Elephas maximus indicus: one gene and its partner. The protein of the gene in region 2 purifies or fractionates together with the protein of the main gene of each other region. This does not show direct contact. Links are inferred from orthologs where the notes say so. Each region holds a gene or a part of one and is shown on either strand. Other genes may lie near its edges. The genes, in order: CTNNBL1 and AICDA.

Region 1 (3,919 bases), on a different chromosome or scaffold from region 2:
ACTAGATGGTGCCTGGCTACCACCACCAATCGCTCTGACAGGGATTACAATGGACGGCTCTGGACGGAGTGGGAGAAAGATGTATAACAAAATCCAAATTCAGCAAAAACAAAACAAAACAAAAAAACACCCAGACTTCTTGGCCTCACAGAGACTGGAGGAACTCTCAAGACTATGGCCCCCGGACACCCTGCTAACTCAGCATTGAAGCCACTCCTGAAGCCCACTTTTCAGCCAAAGATTAGACAAACCTATAAAACAAACAATAACACAAGTGAGGAACACGATTATTAGTTCAATCAAGTATACAAGACCAAATGGGCAACACCTGCCCAAAAGCAAAGACAAGTAGGCAGGAAGGGGCAGGAAAACTGGATGAATGGGCACAGGAACTGGGGTGGAAAGGGACAGGGGGAGAGTGCTGACCTAATGTGGGGATTGCAACCTATGTCACAAAACAATTTGCGTGTGTATTTCTGAATGAGAAACTAACTTGCGCTGTAAACTTTCACCTAAAGCACAATAAAATTAAGAAAAAAAAATTACATAACATTAAAGGGCAAATACAAGTTGTCCATAAATTGGATGTTCATAGCATGGGGACTGCCTGTACACCCATCATTCGCTTATCAACATGGTTAGGTTCCAAAGACCAGGTCATTATGTGAAAACTGGCGTTACATGAATATGGAAGATGGCTACATCATTACATGACAACCAAATTACATTATTATATAACTGCCAAACCACTGAGAATCACGGCCCAGCCAAGCTGACACATAATCTTAACCATCACAGCCAGCGTAACTCTCGCCTTGCACTTCAGCATTCATTACTACCAGATATTCACTGTCACAAAACAGTCGGTTTTTTATTATTGTTGTAAAATGTGAAATGTTGGATAACAAGACAGTTGATAAGTAGGGAGTAAGTGTATACCTCCTTCCTTACAAATTCCTTCCCATCATGTCTGGAGTCGCCAGGTCAGTTTTTGATATGTTGGATGAAAGAGTGGCACAAAAATAATAGTTAACATTTACTGACAGCCTGCTGAGCAGGTTTCAGTGGAGCTTTCAGACTAAGATGGACTAGGAAGAAAGACCTGGCAACCAACCTACTTCCAAAAATCCGCCAATTAAAACCTTATGGATCACAAGTATCTGATCTCCAACCGATCTTAGCTGCAAAACCAGACAGCATTTTCTTCTGTTGTGCACAGGGTCTGACTTAACCGCAGCTATCAACAACTGAACATTTACCCTTTGACAGGCATTGGTCTAAGCCATTTACATTTATGTTTCAAAACAGACCCGTGAGGTAGCAAACAACACTGTCCCATTTACGGATGAGAAAACCAAGGCATAGAGAGATTAACTACTGTTCAAGTCTACAGCAGTAGGTTAGCAGCAAAAATAAGATTGCAAGTAACCTGGGCCTCCAAATTCATGCCTTTCAGGCTCTTTTTATCTGTCCAATAAAAATACAATGTCATCTATATGTGTAAATTTAAATTTTCTAGTAGCTGCATTACAAAGTCAACCAAAAACGGGTGAAATTTACTTTAAATATACTTTATTTAGCCCCTTATCCAAAATATGATTATTTAATCAAGATAAATCAATATGACCAATATAATCATGCAATCAATATAAAAAATTTTACACTCTTTTCATATTGTCTTCAAAATCTAGTGTGAATTTTAGACTTAAAGCACTTCTCGATTCAGACTAGCCACGTTACAAGTGTTCAATAGCCACATGTGGCTAGTGGCTACAGTACTGCACCGTGCACCTCAACTGCCTCGCAAAAGAAGCCTCTTGGGGGCCTAAAGGGAGGATAAAACTTGGGGCTGGCAGCCAGGAGACCTGAGCTCTTACTTGTTGACTGACTTTTGGGCAAGTGTCCACCCTCTGGACCAGTTTTCCAACAAGCAGTGTGAGCAATGGGGACAAGGAAATTCCTAGGGTTCCTTGTCCCCATTGAATCCCATGCTTGAATTCCAAACATCTCCCAACAACGGCAGTTAACATGGGTACAGCTTTCCACAGTTTAAAATCAGCTTTCACATCCATTAGCTAACAGAGTTCTCAAACAACCGTAAACCCGTTGCCGTCGAGGCGATTCCAACTCACGGTTATTGATGTCTCTATAGTTAAAAAAGGAAACCCTGGTGGTGTAGTGGTTAAGTGCTATGGCTGCTAACCACAGGGTCTGCAGTTCGAATCCGCCAGGCGCTCCTTGGAAACTCTATGGGGCAGTTACACTCTGTCCTATAGGGTCGCTGTAAGTCGGAATCGACTCGACGGCAATGGGTATAGTTAGAATAGCTGAGCCTCGTAGAGGAAGAAATGAGTTGATGCAAAGTCACATAGCCAGTCAATGGAGACTCGAGCTCAAAGCCAGGAAAGGCCAGCGCTGCTCTCAATGACTGAGGGAAGAAGACAGCGGAGGGGAATGGTTGTGAAGACAGGGCAGTTTGGCGCCTTCAGAGAAGTTCCAGGGAGCAAGGCCTGTGGGTGGGGTGAGCAGGGCCCAGACAGTTGTGAGAAGAGGCGAGGGGGCCAGGGCCTTGACAAGGAACTAACTGAAAGGCCCAAGGGGGTTCCCGGGAGAGCGAAGTGAAATGAGCGGCTCGGACCCGGGCCGGCACGCAGAGAAGAGGGAGCCAGGCCCCAGAACGAAAAGAGAGGACGTGCATTAAAGGGACCCTGGTTCTGCGAGAGGGCGGAACCCCGGCCCTGCCCACCCCTTCTACCTGGTAGCTCAGAAGTTCTCCCACGTCCATGGTTCCCTGCCCAGCCAACGCCGGCGACGTCGGTTCCCTCCACTCACGCCAAAAACGCGGCTCGCAGTTTCTCCAGACACACTGCCGTAAAGCGCCGCGAGCCGGCCTCAGAGCCAATCGGGTAAAAGTGCGCACGACGAGCTGGACCGCCACACTGCGGTAAAAGGCAGCGCCACCGTAAACCGCGCTGCATTGAGGACACTGCTGTTTCCGCCTGGAGCCTGAGCGGGGCGGGGCAGGGGGCGGAGACCTGGAGGAGGGCGGTAGGAGGAGAGGAAAGGCAGAAAGTAGCCGGAGTTTATCGCGCACCCCTTTGGGCAGGGCGGAGGGCTGGGTGTTTCACTTGTGTTTTCGCAGCGCTTCCTGGGCAGTTTTATTCTCAAATGAAGGCGCCCTGGTGGCGCAGTGGCTAAAGCATTCGACTTCTAACCGAAAGGTTGGCGGCTTGAACCCACCGGCTGCAGGGGGAGAAACATGTGGTAGTCGTCTTGCAGAAAGATTACAGCCTTGGAAACCCTATGGGGCCGTTCTTCTCTGCCCTATAGGGTCTCTCTGTGTGTGGGAATCAACTGGTTGGCAGTGAGTTTGGGTTTTTTTGGGTTTTAATCCTCGGATAGTTTTTCACAGATAAACTGAGGCACTGCACAGTACATACCCACTAACTTCATGTGGCTGCCAACTGCTTGATATATGGCTAGCCGAAATTAAGGGTACCATAGGTGCTGGGTGTTTGAGCTCAACTACTAACCTAAAGATTGGTGGAAGAAAGGCCTGGAGATCTACTTCCAAAAAGTCAGCCATTGAAAACCTTACAGAGGGTTTTCTATACACGGACACACGTGGGGTCACCAAAAGTCTGAATGGACTCCTGGCCAACTGTCTTTTGTTTCGTTTTTTAAATAAGAGCTGATGCATGTAGAGCACTTTGCACAGTGTCTGGCACAGAAAAGTGCTCAACGTTTGCTATTAATATTATGAGGAATTGAGTGGGATGTGGAGGGAGAGAGATGATTGTATTTTTAGAGACCTAACCTTAAGGGCATCGAATGGAAAGCCAAAATCCTTGAGAACCAGGTTCAGTGAGCACCCTGGAATGGGGATAATCTTCACTGTCAGGGAAGGCGTCTCAGAGGA
Region 2 (3,919 bases):
TACTCTGTCTTGTAGGGTCTCTGTAAGAGGGAATCGACTTGAAGGCAACGGAGTTGTTACTGCAGGGAAGTATTCAGTTGTGTGGATATAGCGCATTTTATTATCCAGTCAGTGTTATTGGACATAAGGATTGTTTCCAGTTTGGGACTATTATGAACAGAGCTGCTGTGAACACTCCTCCACCCACTCCTGCGCCAGTCTTTTTGTGGACATATGTTGGGAGTTGACATTTTAATAATGAGATGTGGCTGATAGATGGTGACTTTAAAAGCTAACAAAGTTTTAACTTTATAAGTAGACAACTAAGGATGAGTGCTCTTTAGCAGTTTCCATTTAAATGTCTCCTCTCATACGCATGAAGCTTATTGGAAAGCACTTTACAGCCTGAGGCAGAGAACTAGATTTATCACCAGTATACATATGATATATATTACATCAAACAATTTAAAAATTACTCAACCATTTTACTGTGCCCCCCTTTTTTTTTTAAATTAAGAAATCGCATATTTGGCAGCAATCTAAAATGAATGCTGACAAAGATCCAACAGTAGACAAGAGCTTATTATGGTAGGTAATCAACATAACACCACCATTACTATTACTGTTATTATATGTTGTTGTTGTTAGGTGCTATTGAGTCATATAATAACCATTAACATATATAATCTCAATGCTTAATAAATACTGAAGAAGAAAACAAAAAAAACCCATATTTTCCTTTGGGAGCCCAGTCAGTTTTAAACAGATTAAGCACCAATTAAGTTTACTGATAAACTTCTTATACATTTCACCTACCCTCCTGGGCTGCATGGATCAGAAAGGCAGAGGAAAAAACTGTTATCATGAAGAAGAAAAAGTGTTCCGGGAATATAGAAGAAGAGGGCACAACATTGAGTTCGGATGGACTTTTTACTTCTTACCCCACATGAGGAGGAGCCCTGGTAGCACAGTGCTTAAAGCACTTGGCTGCTAACTGAAAGGTCAGTGGTTCAAGCCTACCAGCTGCTTTGCAGGAGACAGATGTAGCAGTCAGCTTCCCTAAAGCTCATAGCCTTGGAAACCCTATGTGGCAGTTCTACTCCATCCCACAGGGTTGAATGAGCTGGAAATGACTCAACGGCAGTGAGTTTGGTTTTGGGTACCCCATATGAAAAATATAATAGCCCCTTACTTTTTCTGTCACAAGCTGCCAGTCACAGGGAAATGATTTCCATGATCATGACCCGTTAATTAATTTTCTTGAGCCATCATTTCCCTTCTACTCTAGCTAGTAGCCTGTCTCCAGCACCCTGTTCTTCTCTTGGTAGAAAAGCCAAACTCAAACCTGTTGCTGTTGAGTAGATTCCAACTCACGGCAATCCCATGTGTTACAGGGTAGAACGGTGTTTCATGGGGTTTTCTTGGCTGTAATCTTTATGGAAGCAGATCACCAGGACTTTCTTGCATGGCACTACTGGGTGGGTTCGAACCACCAACCTTTGTGTTAGTAACCGATAGCAAACTGCTTTCGCCATCCAGGGCCTGTTGGGGGTGTAGAGGAGCTTTCTTTTTCGGTTACAAAGGATGTTGCAGAAGCAATTTTTCAAGTCTGCTGGTTGACAGCTGCTCTGGACAGCTGGGTTCCCTGAGGCAGAACCCTAGCTGTGTGTCCCCAGCAATGCAAACCAGAGAGAAAATGGGTAAAAAAATAATCCTGACAAAGTTATTCTCTCCTGTGGGGTGCCATCACTAATAAGCACTGCAGATATTAACTTCCTTAGTGATAATTATATATTTTCCTTTCTCTTCCGTTGAATTTCATCTTTCTCCTTTTTAATTTGTCTTTCTCTGAGTCTCCACTGCTAATTTTACCATTGCTTTGCGTTTCATTATATACAAGCATGTCCACTGGACTTGCACCTCTGACAACAGAGTGTTATTGACTTGTGCCTCAGGTTGGTTTTTTAAATAACTGTCAAAATCTCACTGCATACTGAGACATTCAACACTGTTTGCCCTCAAGAAAAATTTCTGAAGAACATTTAATCTACCCGTAAAAATCTTAGCTCTGTAGTATAAGTTCTATGTAGATAGATAGATAAAATTGAGATAAAGTCTACGGATTGGTATGATTTTAATATGTTCGTAATGATCATAAAAACTGAGATGCAATTCTATGATAATAACTTGGTTATCATAAACTGCGTGTATAGACATGAAAATCTTATAAAAGCCACATTTAAGAAGTTAAGCCATGTGTACACAAATCCAAGATCTTGTTAAAAAGTAAATATGCCACCAACTGCCTAACAATTGGACCATTCCATTAAACAACTTGCTTGAATAAATTTTTCTCCTTACTACAGACAGAATCATAGTGACCTTCAGGCATTTAATTTTGAATGATTGGTATTTTTTAAAAAACACAAATTTTCTTACTATGTAGCTTAATTGTTCAGTAAAATCACCTTAGGAGAGTTTGTCTTCAAGTGGTTTGACTGTTAAAATATTTACAAAGTTATTATTACAATTGCCACTGTATTTCATATAGTATTGCTGCTATCTTTTGATGATACGAGTCTCTAAACATTTGCTGTATTAATATTATGACTGTACACTACTTCTAACTGCAACACAAAACTCAGGGTATGTCAGTATACAGTGCATAAAACTCTTATGCAACCTGGAAAAGAGAGGTAGAAGTATGAAGCAGAGAGGATTAGGTTCAGAGCAGGCAAAATCTGAATAGAGCACGGTACATAAGACAGGTCCAGAAGAATAAGTAAGCATATTAAACAAGCAGATCCTGGGAGTCCCATAGGAGAGAAAGGAACAGATAGATACCAATCTTATTATTCAGGTTTGCTCTGAGAGGAAAGCCAATGAAACCACCCGCTGGAGACCCATGAGGTGACTGCCTCTTTACCTGTCCATTGAGGTCTCCAGGGTGTCTTTCTTGGTGGCTCCCTCAAAGTCTTAGGCAAAGGGCCAAGGAAATCTTGCCTCAAGCACTGCTGCTTCACTGACTCTGTCTGACAGTGTGAGGGCACTGGCCCCACACATTCAAATTTAAGCTTGCCCTTTTGGGCTCCTCCCCCCACATCACCAGGTACCCCAATAGCCTACCTCCTGATTTGGGCCCAGTGAAGAAAGAAGGGGTTGTCATAGGCAGCGTCACATGGGTTAAATGACTGGGGGAAGCTCTGCTTAATGCTTAGGGTCCTCTAGGACTGCTTCTCTAAAAATCCAAACCATGCCTCACAGACATCAAATATCCAGAGGCAGTGGTGGTAAGCACTACTTAAATTATTATCGTGGTAACAAACAATATGCTTAAATTTAAAATCATAATAATTATAATGCTCATTTAAATAGCATCTTGCGTTCTGTGAGCTGAAAGCATCTATTACCTCATTTAATTACACAATTGCTCTGTAACCTTCATAGAGACAGGCACTAAACAGCCCCTGCTTTATTGCTGAGCAATTAAATTCAATCAGTTACAGGATTTAAGACACAGGAATTTTGCTTCCCAAATCACTGCTTTTTTGTTTCTGATTGCATTACAACAATTGCTAGAAGACTATATGTTGACCCCAAAGAATAATTTTTGCACAAGCCATCTTTTCCACAAAATCATATATTTAATTCAAAGACAGATGCAACAGCACCCCCAAGCAATACCAAATGCTTGTTTCACCAAACAGAAGCAGTATCTAAATGACTGCATTGAACTTGGAAAATAGGCTGAGCTTTTCAAGTTCGAGGCTCCAGTTCCTGCTCTCATACAACTTAGTCTATTAAAAGTATTGTTTCTCTCTTATATCCCATCCCATATGAATTCTATTTATTCATGTAATAGATACTTAGCACCTACTGTAAGCCAGAAATTATGCCAGGTTCTTGAGATTTCATGGTGAGCAAAGCAGCTATAGTTCCT

What was found.
Region 1: the proteins of AICDA (region 2) and CTNNBL1 purify together in Homo sapiens (affinity purification with western blotting; 3 studies listed by BioGRID, with this or other methods). This does not show direct contact. The link is inferred for Elephas maximus indicus from reciprocal best matches to the Homo sapiens genes AICDA and CTNNBL1.

Annotation. Positions count from the first base shown.
Region 1 is NC_064843.1:31,850,257-31,854,175, forward strand, and holds the start of CTNNBL1 (beta-catenin-like protein 1), read right to left. Parts: upstream 2,878-3,919; 5' UTR 2,786-2,877; coding exon 2,756-2,785; intron 1-2,755. UniProt on the Homo sapiens protein: Component of the PRP19-CDC5L complex that forms an integral part of the spliceosome and is required for activating pre-mRNA splicing.
Region 2 is NC_064822.1:65,806,150-65,810,068, forward strand, and holds the start of AICDA (single-stranded DNA cytosine deaminase), read right to left. Parts: upstream 2,978-3,919; 5' UTR 2,914-2,977; coding exon 2,906-2,913; intron 1-2,905. UniProt on the Homo sapiens protein: Single-stranded DNA-specific cytidine deaminase. Involved in somatic hypermutation (SHM), gene conversion, and class-switch recombination (CSR) in B-lymphocytes by deaminating C to U during transcription of Ig-variable (V) and Ig-switch (S) region DNA.